Linked DNA regions of Mus musculus. The protein of the gene in region 1 interacts with the protein of each later gene in a pairwise test. Links are inferred from orthologs where the notes say so. Each region holds a gene or a part of one and is shown on either strand. Other genes may lie near its edges.

Region 1 (5,677 bases):
GCGATTTGTAGAGTCAGCAAGTCCAGCCAATCAGGGTTCAGTAAGAGACCCTGTCTCAAAACATCAAATAACTCTCAACGGAGGAAGATGTTCAACACTGTGCCATGGCTTCTCTGTGCTCTCACGAGGGCTCATGCACACTCACACAGATGTGCACATGTGTGTCACACATATGTAAGGCCCTGCGGGGTGGAGGCCCACACTTGAATCCCAGCGCTGAGGAAGCAGAAACACATTCTTCTGGGACTCACTGGAAGCCAGCAGAGTGGACTTCGTGGGTTGCGGCCAATGAGAGATCCTGTCTCAAAACTCAGGGGCCGGGCGGTGGTGGCGCACACCTTTAATCCCAGCACTTGGGAGGCAGAGGCAGGCGGATTTCTGAGTTCAAGGCCAGCCTGGTCTACAGAGTGAGTTCTAGGACAGCCAGGGCTATACAGAGAAACCCTGTCTTGAAAAAAACAAAAAATAAAAATAAAAAAAAATCAGGCTGGGGACCAGGGAGATGATATTTGCCAGAAAGCTTGGTGACCTGGGGTTCAATGCCCAGGACTCACATGGTGGAGGGACAGGAGGGACAAAACAGACTCCTACCATGTCTTTATACTATGGCTGGTGGCCTGGCTCCTGTACCAAACCCCCTGAGGACAGAAAGGGACCCTGGTCCTAACTCCTATTTAGGGATCACGGGACCCAGGAGCCTTTTTTTGGCCTCTCAGACCCCCAGTAGCCTCCTGTCCAGCACACACATGTGCTGAGCTCTGGGGACGCTGGCCAGGAGGCCATGGGCTCAGGTCTACCGAATCCTGCGGCCTTTGATGTGGAGCCAAAGGAGACCCTACAGCCCCCCAAACACCCTGTGCTCTCGGCAGCCTCCGAGACAGACACACCCTCTCTGGGTGCTCCCTGTTAGGACTTGTCATCCCCACCCCCAGTTCACCCCATGAGCAGACAGCCCTGGCACCAGGTGCAGAGCCCTCATGAGTGCCCTCAGGGCGGGCGCGGCCCACACCCGCACCATCTGGTCTTCTGGGGGAGGTCCTGTAGAGGCAGATACCCAGGGTATGCAGCAAACCTCACCTCTAGGTTGGGTAACATGGTTTCCCCTCCCAGCCGTGCCCATGGCCCCCACTACTTTTTCCTCTCTGTGCTTCAGCTTTCCCTTCTATAAAATGGGCTGGCAGTCAACTGCCCTCGGATGCTTGGTGTTACAGTGAGAAGCCTTTGTCTTAAGGTTTGAAAAGACCACGTCACCAGGACAGACTGCTAATAAAGGCCCTACCCTGTGGCCAGCTTCTGTTCAAATCCTTACTGGCTGCAGAGCCTCCTCTACCCTGGGCCTCAGTTTCTTCATCTGGAAAGTGGGTGTGATGATGTGAGCTGACCTCAGAGATGCTTCAAGGATGAAGTGGGGGAAGGGACTGCAACAGCTTGAGTTTCACAGACTGTCCTGGGAGCATTTCAGCGGAGAGCAAGTCCCGAAGAGAAGAGTGGGGGGTAGGGCGGCGACCTCAGCCACGCCCAGAATAGCCTTCTGTTTAGCCTTCTCCTGCCTTTCTCCCCTTCTTTCCAATGTCTTGTTAAGTGTGCTTGGGCAAGATGTGCAGTCCTGGCCCAGGCAGGGGTGGCTAAGGGCATAGCCTGTGCTCTCCCCTCACAGGCTTCCGAGTGCCCCACTCTTCTGCTGTTGCAGGCTTCACTGTGGACACCCATGGGTGGGTGGGGGGGTCCTGGGTGGCCCAGGGTAGAGGAGGCTGTGCAGCCACTGGGGCACCTGAGTGGAGAGGGGCTGGGCCTCCGGGGCAGGGCAGGTGCTGACTCATGGGCTCGCCTGGCACTATAAAGGAACCAGCCCAGGGGCTTCCTGCTGCCTGCTGACCGAGCGAGCAAGGATGGCCCAAGGCGCGGTGATCCACGTGGCCCCCGAGCAGCCCACTCACGCCGTGTGTGTGGTGGGCACAGCGACCCCGCTGGATGTCCGCGGGTGAGAGGGGCAGAGATCCTGGGCCTGTGGGGGCAGTTTGGGGCAGGCAGGAGCTGGGCGCTGCTGGCCCAGCTCAGGTTCTGGGCAAGAGATCTGCTAGAGAGATAAGCCAGAGGTGTGGGGCCTATCGTGCCAATTAGTTCTCTGTGAGGTATAAATACAACTGCCTGGCACTCAATGCAAGGAATTACAGGGCTGCCTAACAAGGGAGAAACAGTCCCTGCTGTAGGCTGACGGTGGGGAGGGCTTGGGCAGCTGGGCCTGATTTACCTTACCTCATGAAATGACTTTAAGGATTAAGTGTGGCAACTCCAAATGTGTTTGTTAAGCACTCTATGGTGCTGTTTGTTAAGTACTCCATGGTGCTGTTTGTTAAGTACTCTGAGGTGCTGTTTGTTAGGTACTCCACAGTGCTGTTTGTTAGGTATTCCGTGGTGTTGTTTGTTAAATACTCTGAGGTACTGTTTGTTAGGTACTCTGTACAGTACTGGGCAGATCAGATCCCCAACAGTTCATTTGTTGTTCATTTTTTCCATTCCCTTGTACATTCAACAAATATAACCTGAGTACTTACTGAGCACTGTGACCTCTGCCAGGTTCCGGGTCACCTAGGACAATGGAGGAAGCCTCGTGGGTGGAGTCTGATGCAGCCTTTCATGTGGGAATTGCAGCAGCTTCCCCCACAGAGCTGGGCATCGTGACCCAAGTGATGTCCATAAAGGCCTCTGGGAGGTGCCCAGGGTCAGTGGGTCAGTGACTGTCTGACCCCAGCAGCAGGAAAGCACTGGCGGTCTGGGTGGCTCACAGGCCACTGGTGAGAGGCTGAGGACACAAGGAAGGGAAAGCCTGGTATCATCAGAGGCGCCCACTCCCAGAGGACAAGCTGCTTGAAAGTGGGTGCCGAGTAGAGGCCAGAGGCCAGAGCTAGCCCAGCATCCTCGCCAGGATCCCAGGCTAGCTCTCGCCTTAAGTCTAGGTCACAAGTGCTCTTATTGTCTGTAGATGCAGGGGTGTGTGGGAGCCTGCGGAGGCCAGGACAAACTCAGGTGTCATTCCTCAGGCTCTGTGTACCGAGGTCGGCAGCCAGCCTGTGGGAGTCAGCTCTCCTCTCACCATGTGAGCTCCAGGACTCAGGTCGGCAGGCTTGGCAGCAGGCGCCTTTGTCCACCGAGCCATCTTGCTGATCCTGATGGAGGTTTTCAAATGGGGAGATCTGAGCATTTGATCAGACAGGGGTGTTGATGAAAATGTGGGTGTTTGTCCCCCGGGAAGAGCCAAGACTGGGGCATGTCCCGTCCGTGAGAAGGGAATACAAGAATGGGAGGGCTGTACTGCGGGGGGTAGAGGGGGACAGCAGCTTGTGCCGCTTGCATGAGGTCTTGGAAGAACTTCTGCCCTTCTCAGGGCATGGGCTCAACCTGCCTTTGCCTCCCAGCTCTGGGAGCAAGCCTGCACCCCCGCGCTTAGCACACGGTTCTGGGGCGCAAACTCGAGTCCTGGGCCTTTCATAGAGCCACACCAGGATCTGACATAAATAAGTAAATAGACAGACCGACAATAAATCATTTTAACTGCCCCTCCCAGGCAGTGCTATATGAGCAAGCCCCTAAACAGGGCTACCAAGCTCTGTGGCCCTGTCAGGGACTCAGGCCTAACCCCACAAGCATGGGGACCAGGGGACAAAGAAGAGGCCACCTGTGGTTTGAGAGGCCCCAGGTGACACTAGAAGGTGTTGTGTTCACAATGGGAACCCCAGCCTATGCTGGGGGTAAATGAGTGCCGTGAATTAGGTAGATAATTTCTCCGTGGCTACGCATGTACACACGCACATGGGGGCGGGGCACCTGCATGTGCAGGGAGGGCCAGACCTTGTGCATAGTGGTTTTCTGGTTTGTTGAGTGAGTGAAAGGAAGTTGGCCCTCAGTCACTCTGGGATCTTTTTACAGGAATGGCAGGGATAGGGGTAGGGGGAATATACTCGAAATCAAAACCCTTTTCTGGTCATTCTGTGTTGTCTCCCCAGGGCAGGCTCCAAACCATCCCCACCCAGCCTTTTCCCACAGTCCTCCAGGAAAGTCCGGCCTCTGTGCCACGTAGCTCTCTGATCCTTGAGTGCGGTGTGGAGCCAAAAGATGGGCGTGAGGAAAAGAGAAAGGACAGAGAATGTTCCAGGAATCAGGCTTCTCCACACCTGTTCTGGAACCCTCCTCCTCGCTGGCCTCGCTGTGACTGTCACTGTCACTCCTCCACACTGGCTTTCCTTCTTTTTTTTTTTTTTTTTTGTTTGTTTCTTGGTTTGTTTGTTTGTTTGTTTTTTCGAGACAGGATTTCTCTGTGTAGCCTTGGCTGTCCTGGAACTCACTTTGTAGACCAGGCTGGCCTCGAACTCAGAAATCCACCTGCCTCTGCCTCCCAAGTGCTGGGATTAAAGGCGTGCGCCACCACACTGGCTTTCCATTACCCCGGTGCTGTGTGTCCCGACTGTGGCTGACCCAAGCCTGCAACTCCTCCTTGCCCCCCACCTCACAGCTTCTTCACCTCAGAGTCTCTTGAGAAAGAAACCTGGGCTCTTCCCTCTGTCCAGCAGGTTCTGTTGACTTGGAAACAATTCCACTTGCCTCATAAAAAAAAAAAATCATGATAAAATAAGATAAAATGCAGGTTTTCTCAGCCACTGGCTTCATCATGCCTTGCTGAGCCTGGGTTTCCAGTCCCTCAGCTTCTGCTCAGTTGGGTAACTCAGCAGCTCCGGTCAGTAGCTTCCTGGGTGTGGTTCTCACGCCTGAGGGTGCACAGAGCACCCGGGAGACCTGAGGAAGCTCAGACCTCTGGGCTCCACCCCCAAGTCTGCAGCAGCCTTGGAAACTGGTTGTGCCCAGTTTCCCGGGAGGTTGAGGCTGCTGGCCTTGAGTCAAGGAGTGTACATTGGCTATAGCAGGTCTCTGGGGAGAATATATATATATATATTATAATATATACATATATTACAATATGTAATATAATATATATTATAATATATAATATGTTACATATATTATGTACTATATATATATATATATATATATATATATATATATATATATATGAATGAATAGGAGAGAGAGATGTGTCCTTGGGGACAATCCTTCTCCTATGCTCACTCAGCAATGCCCTCCTACCGGGACCAGCAGGCTGTTCTTCAGTGAAGAGGGGGAAGGACTAAGGACAGGAGATGAGAAAATAAAGGAGATAGCAGAGCTGAGACCAGAAGTCCATGCCTAAGCTGAGGACCAATGCTAAGCACGTTTGTTACAAAGTACAGCAGCTTCTATACAGTTCACAGGGAGAAAGGGGCAGAGTCGGCAGAAAGCCATCATATAATGGGACTCGAGGTCATCAGAAAGCTAACAGAGCCTTGTTGCACAAAAGGGACACGGGGCACGGAGAGTGCATTGCAGATTAAGCACACAGTAGCCGCCTCCGGACAGATAACTCCAGTTCCCGAAACTGAAACCTAAACTCCCGCTGGCCCCAGCCCCACACCATTGCCACGCCCACCCCTGGACCAGCACTCAGAACTAAAGCTCCCTTTGTTTCATCCGGACCTCTGAGAAAGCCTTGGGTCACGGGCTGGCTTCCAGCAAGCTTTTAAGTTTTATTTGGGGAATTTAATCGTGAGGACCGAGCTGACATTTCTCCACTCTCTCTCCAGCCTCC
Region 2 (5,580 bases), on another chromosome or scaffold:
GCTGTTGTCTTAGAAACAGGCAAACAAGAATGGGGCAAGGATCTAAGTAGTATTTAGACTTTCTAGGGGAGCTTGATGAACCCTGACGTTTGAGGAAGTATTAGGAATCTTTTATAGCTTTATCAGTACAGTTCTACAGAGCCTCTGCCCAGGCCTTTTCTGCAGTGAGAACTCTCAGCAGCTCTAACACCCTCCCTATGCGTCCCAAAAGCCACTTTCTCAAGTTCAATGAGCAAATACCCGTTATCATAAGGAGTTACTCATTCCCAAGCCCACATGCCAAGCCCTTCAGGAATTTAAGAGCCATTGATTCCTACCCCCACACGCACACACTACAGCTTCCCTTTTCTGATCAAAAAAGCTTCAGGTTTCTGTTGAGGCAGGGGATGCTGGGGATTGAACCACTGGTCTTGTGATCTTAGGCAAGCAATCTACCAGCAGAGTTACATTCTCATCCCGGCTCTACCTCGGTCAACTCTATTTCACATGGCACGTTGCCACGGAGAACGTTGAAGCAAAAAGAAAAACACAGATCAAGACTCTGTTAAGAAGCCAGGAATCCACAGCTCACTGTGAACCAAGTCCAGAGTCTCAGTTGGACTTGAGCCTCACCTCACTTTGGAGGGCCGGGACTTGAAGCCTTGCATCTTCAACTGGACCAGGTTATGAGCCCATTCCAGGCTGAGGAGAATTAGAATAATGTGATTAAGCTGATCACTACTCAAAGACACTCTGAGGAGACCATCTCAGTGCCTGTTAAACTCCCTCCATACTGCAAGAGAACAAACCACCAAGGTTTGGAGAAAATGGCAGCCCCAAACCCAAGCAACACCTCTTTGAAAAAAAAAGCTTAAAAGGTATGTAATTTTGGTGGCTAGAGACGTAGCTCAGTTGGGAGAGTTACCTAGCCTGCACAAGGCCCTGGGTTGGATCCTCTGCACTCCATAAGCTTAGGCATGGTTCCTTACATCTATAATCTATAATAATCTATAATCTATAATCCCAGCATTCAGGAGCAGAGACAATAGGATCAGAAGTTCGAGTACATCCTTGGCTATACAGGAAGTTTGAGGCCAGCCTGGGCTACCTTAGACCCTATCTCAAATTCGAAGATAAAATAAAGAATACACTTTTAAGGGCTCTCCTCCCAATTTTCCCTACAATTTAAATGTAAAACATGGTTTTAGTTGAGTAATTGGGTGAAACTGACACTTAAAGAAAAATCTGCTTACTCACTCTGTAGCTTCCCCCATTCCCTGACACATGACCCATCTCCAGTGCAGACCCCTCACCTTGCTCTCTCTTGGAGAGGATCAGGGTAGCCTACAACTATGCAAGCAAGATCAGGAAAAGAAAGGATTGGCTGGTCACAGACAAAGCAATGTGCCCTGGGATGTAGGGCTGTAGGACCAAGAGGCTTGCCCTGTGGGCACTGATGGCTGAGGGAGGACCAAGAGGCTCACCCTGTGGGTACTGATGGCTGGCAGGCACAGCTTGACCTGTTAATCTCCAGACTGCTTTCAGAGAAAAAGAAGATCCCTGACCAAAGCAGGGACTCCAGCTAGGAGGAAATCATCACCCTTTCCCTAATAGCTCTGTGTCTCTAGGACCACTGGGTGAGTGTACATGTGTGTGTGTGTGTGTGTGTGTGTGTGTGCCCTGAAATCAACAGAAAGCTGAGTTGACTGGCTTTGGCAAAATGGCCATCACTGAAGTTAGTGGCTCTCAAGTGGCTGTGGTAATCTCAATCTAGTTTTCAACCTCTCCTGCACACTCTTTACAAAAGCATTAAATTAATTAATTGTGTGTGTGTGTGTGTGTGTGTGTGTGTGTTCTCCAAGCCCACAATGGGGTGTCAGACACCCTGGATCTGGAGCTTCAGGCAGTTGGGAGCCATCTGGAGTGGGTACTGGGAGCATCGAGTGTTCTTGAACCAAGACCTCCAGCCCCTACCTACTACTCTTGTGTTGGTTTTGGTTTTTTGTTGGCTGGGTCTTTCTTTTTTTGAAGGCCAGATCTCGAATAGTCCAGACTACCCTCCAATATTACCCTGAACTACCGATTGTCCTGAAGTATGAGATTCTATTCCTTTTAAATCTAAAACGGGAAGCTTCCAAAAGGGTGTTGCTTGGGTTGGGACTGTCATTTTCTCCAAACTGTCCTCAAAGGCAAACGTACACCTGATTTATTTGGAGCCAAGGATAAAACCCAAGGCTTCTGGTGTGCTGGGGGCACGCTATCAACTGAATATATGCCTGGTCCTCTCTTCTTGTTCTTCTCTCCTCCGTTCTCTAGGGACTCACGGCCATAAATGGAGTTGCTTCCCACCTAAGGAAACAGTGAGTCTGGGAATGATGGGCAGAGGGATAGGTAACAACCGGCCATCCTATCCATCCTTCCACCATCCACTAAAGTGCCCAGTTTTAATGAAAGGCGCAGTTGCTTAAGGCCCAGAGTGCTCCTCCAGTAAATGGAGGCTTTCATACCCTTGAGGTGCACATTGAGCCAGCAAAGTGTTAAACCGCCAATTGTCTTAGGCGCCAAAGTCTCCAACTGGTCAAAGCACCGAGGACTAAGTTAAAATGTAGACACAGGCAGACACAGAATAAAAACTAAGAATAAGATGATTCCTGGGCGCCAGGCACTGTGTGGAGACCGTTCGCTACAAGAGAGGCGAGGAGCGCCCTAAGAAGACGAGAAAGCAAACTTACTTGCAAAAAGAAAAGGCAACACAAGTAGTGCTGGAGTGAGCTTCAGAGAATGTTAACTCAGTGGCTTATCCTCAGTGCGGAGTCCCGGGGGGGCTTTGACTCAGCAAAGGACTGCAGGAGTGCTGTGCACCGTGCGGCACTGCCTGCTCCTCCCCACGTTTCCCAGGTGGCTGCTCCGGTCCGGGACCTCACGCTTCCAGGGCGCGGAGCCAAGTGGCCCAAAGAACCCGCCTCTGGTCACAGCACCCGGTCCCTGAGCCCAAGATCCCCAGCCACAGTCTAGGACAACCGGCAGGAGCCCAAGATTCCCAGGTCCAAGCCTAGGACAGCGGGCGAGCCCAGGATCCCGAGGTTAAGTTCAGGTTTCCAGGCCCCAGCTGCGACCCAGCCTAGGATTCCCCAAATGAAGTCTAGATCTCCAGGTCCGAGCCTAGGACACCTGCCCGGAGCCTAGGACCCACACCCAGACCCCAGAGCCCGCGGCGGAGGTCCGGACCACTGCCCTAAGCCCCTTACCTCTGGTGCGGAGAAAGGCTCTAGACTACGGCGAATGCCACACCCTCGTCCCGGCCGATAGGACCCGCCCAGTCTCGGGGTGGAGACTGAGCCCAAGTTCCTGGTTGTCCCTTTGCCCACAGGAAAGTCCCTCCCCGGAGAAGCGCAGCTAGAGCACGAGAATCGCCCCCAGCACCAGGAGGGGCCTGAGGCAGATCACGCACTCGGCCTTTAACCCCACTGAGGACAGCGAGCCCACTCAGGACCCTGACCCTGCACAACCAGACTCCCAGGGTCTCAGCCTCGCGTCCTGCTGGGGTCGCACAACGTACTTGGGGCCTCGGCGCTCCAGTCTAGAGTGTAACTTGAAAAATCAGAACGTGACATCTGAGGACACAGTCCATGTCCTCCTTTCACATTATAACATACGTTCCAGAAAATTCTCAGCAGTTGCACGCCTCCCTTAAAGAAGACAGATGCAATCCTCAAAGTCAGGGGAAGGGTTCTCGGAGACAGGTACAGGTCACCGTTGGGACCGGGGTTAGAAGCAACTCTGGGTTTCCCACTAAACTTCCAACTGAAGCATTTCTTGGTTGCTAGCCAGCCTGGTTCTGGCTCCTTGCTGGACACGGAGGCACATGCCTCTTGCTACAAGGATAATGAATGCTTGAAGAACAGAGGCAGGTGCAGGCAACAGAGGCTCCACAGGCAACCTCCAATTTCATTTAACAAAGAATGGGTCGCTTTGGGCAGTGTTTGCTCTCTAGCCAACCAAAACCTAGGTGGTCATTATTTTAAATTGTATCAGCAACTGTAGCTAGAGGAGGTGGCTTATTGTGTGGTCAGGAGGAGGAAGGCTGAGGGGGTCAGGAGGAGGAAGGCTGATCTAGACTTGGGCCTGTTTTTTCATGTTCCAAAGTCTATATGTTTCTAAGCTTCCACAAGGGAAGACAAAATTAATCATGGTAATAGGAAGGACAAAATGAAGATTCAAGACTATTGTATCCTTTTAAAAGTAATTACATGCAGGGGAGGTGGGGTGGGGGGTGGATAAAGGTTAGTGTCTAGGAACTGTAGTTAGCCCACAGCTAAGCTGATCTTTATAGCAAGTGCAACCAGGCCACAGGCCTCTGATGTCACTTCTCCCAAAGTCTGCCCTAGCCCAGGTAGGGAAGCCACAGACAGAGGCTTTTACTATTACATATAAATACGTGTGCATTTTACTTATTTTATGTGTACAGATTTTTGTCTGTCTGTATGTCTACACACCAGCATAGGATCCCTTGGCTGCTGGGAATTGAAGACCTGTCTTCGGGGAAGACTCAGTGCTAGTCCCCACCTGAGTCTTTTATGGGAAACAAAGGCCAGGACTCCATCTGACCCAGGCTCATCTGGGATCTGAGGTCTGGGATCAGGGAAGGGCTGACCTCCAGTAGGAGTCTTGACTCTTTCTGAGCTCTGACAGGTGACATGCGACTTCTTCCAACAGATGGCAGGCTCTCCTGGGAATGCCCAGGAGTGCACTAACAGGGCATCTGCATCTTGTCTTACTTCTGGGGACCTGATCTAACCCAGAGCGACAAAACAATGAATAGAGCTGTTCAACTTAAGGACTCAGACTTCACACTAAAGATATCAAAATTAGGCACCACCAGGCACACACATGATGTACCTGCACACTTGCAGACAAAGTACTTGTATACATAAAGTAAAACAATAATTTTTTTATAAATATGAGAAGAGCGCCAGGCAGTGGTGGCGCACGCCTTTGATCCCAGCCCTTGGGAGGCAGAGGCAGGCAGATTTCTGAGTTCAAGGTCAGCCTGGTCTACAGAGTGAGTTCCAGGACAGCCAGGGCTACACAGAAAAGCCCTGTCTCGAAGAATATATATATATAAATGAATGAAAAGAGCACAGACTGCTCTTCTAGAGGATCCCAGGTTCAATTCCCAGCACCCACATGGTGGTTCACAACCATCTTTAACTCCAGTTCCAAGAGATCTAACAATCTCCTCTGGTCTCCATGGGCATCAGGCATGCAAGTGGTGCACAGGCATGCATGCATACAGACAAAAACACCCATACACATTTTTAAATACCAAAATAAATACACATATCTGTTAGATTTCAAGCCCAGAACAAATGGCCAAGTTACTTAACAGACGCTGGCTGCCATGTTCTCACTGCATCCTGCCTGTCCCGACCTGTGTCAGGCACCCTCCTGGATGGCATACCTTAGGAGAGTCAGATCAGCAGCAGGCTTGATTGGGAGGAGTTCCTTAGGGGAGGGAACTCATCTATGTCACGCCCAGGTTTCAGTAGCAGATGAATGAAAAAAATAAAAGAAAAAGGAAAAGAAAAAATAATAAGGAAA

What was found.
Region 2: the proteins of Padi4 (region 1) and Anxa4 interact in binary tests that used the Homo sapiens proteins (3 or more experiments, as listed by UniProt). The two-hybrid records come from large-scale screens. The link is inferred for Mus musculus from reciprocal best matches to the Homo sapiens genes PADI4 and ANXA4.

Annotation. Positions count from the first base shown.
Region 1 is NC_000070.6:140,770,393-140,776,069, reverse strand, and holds the start of Padi4 (protein-arginine deiminase type-4), read left to right. Parts: upstream 1-1,866; 5' UTR 1,867-1,889; coding exon 1,890-1,981; intron 1,982-5,677. UniProt on the Homo sapiens protein: Catalyzes the citrullination/deimination of arginine residues of proteins such as histones, thereby playing a key role in histone code and regulation of stem cell maintenance.
Region 2 is NC_000072.6:86,790,282-86,795,861, forward strand, and holds the start of Anxa4 (annexin A4), read right to left. Parts: upstream 3,304-5,580; 5' UTR 3,228-3,303; intron 679-3,227; exon of another isoform or gene 613-678; intron 1-612. UniProt on the Homo sapiens protein: Calcium/phospholipid-binding protein which promotes membrane fusion and is involved in exocytosis.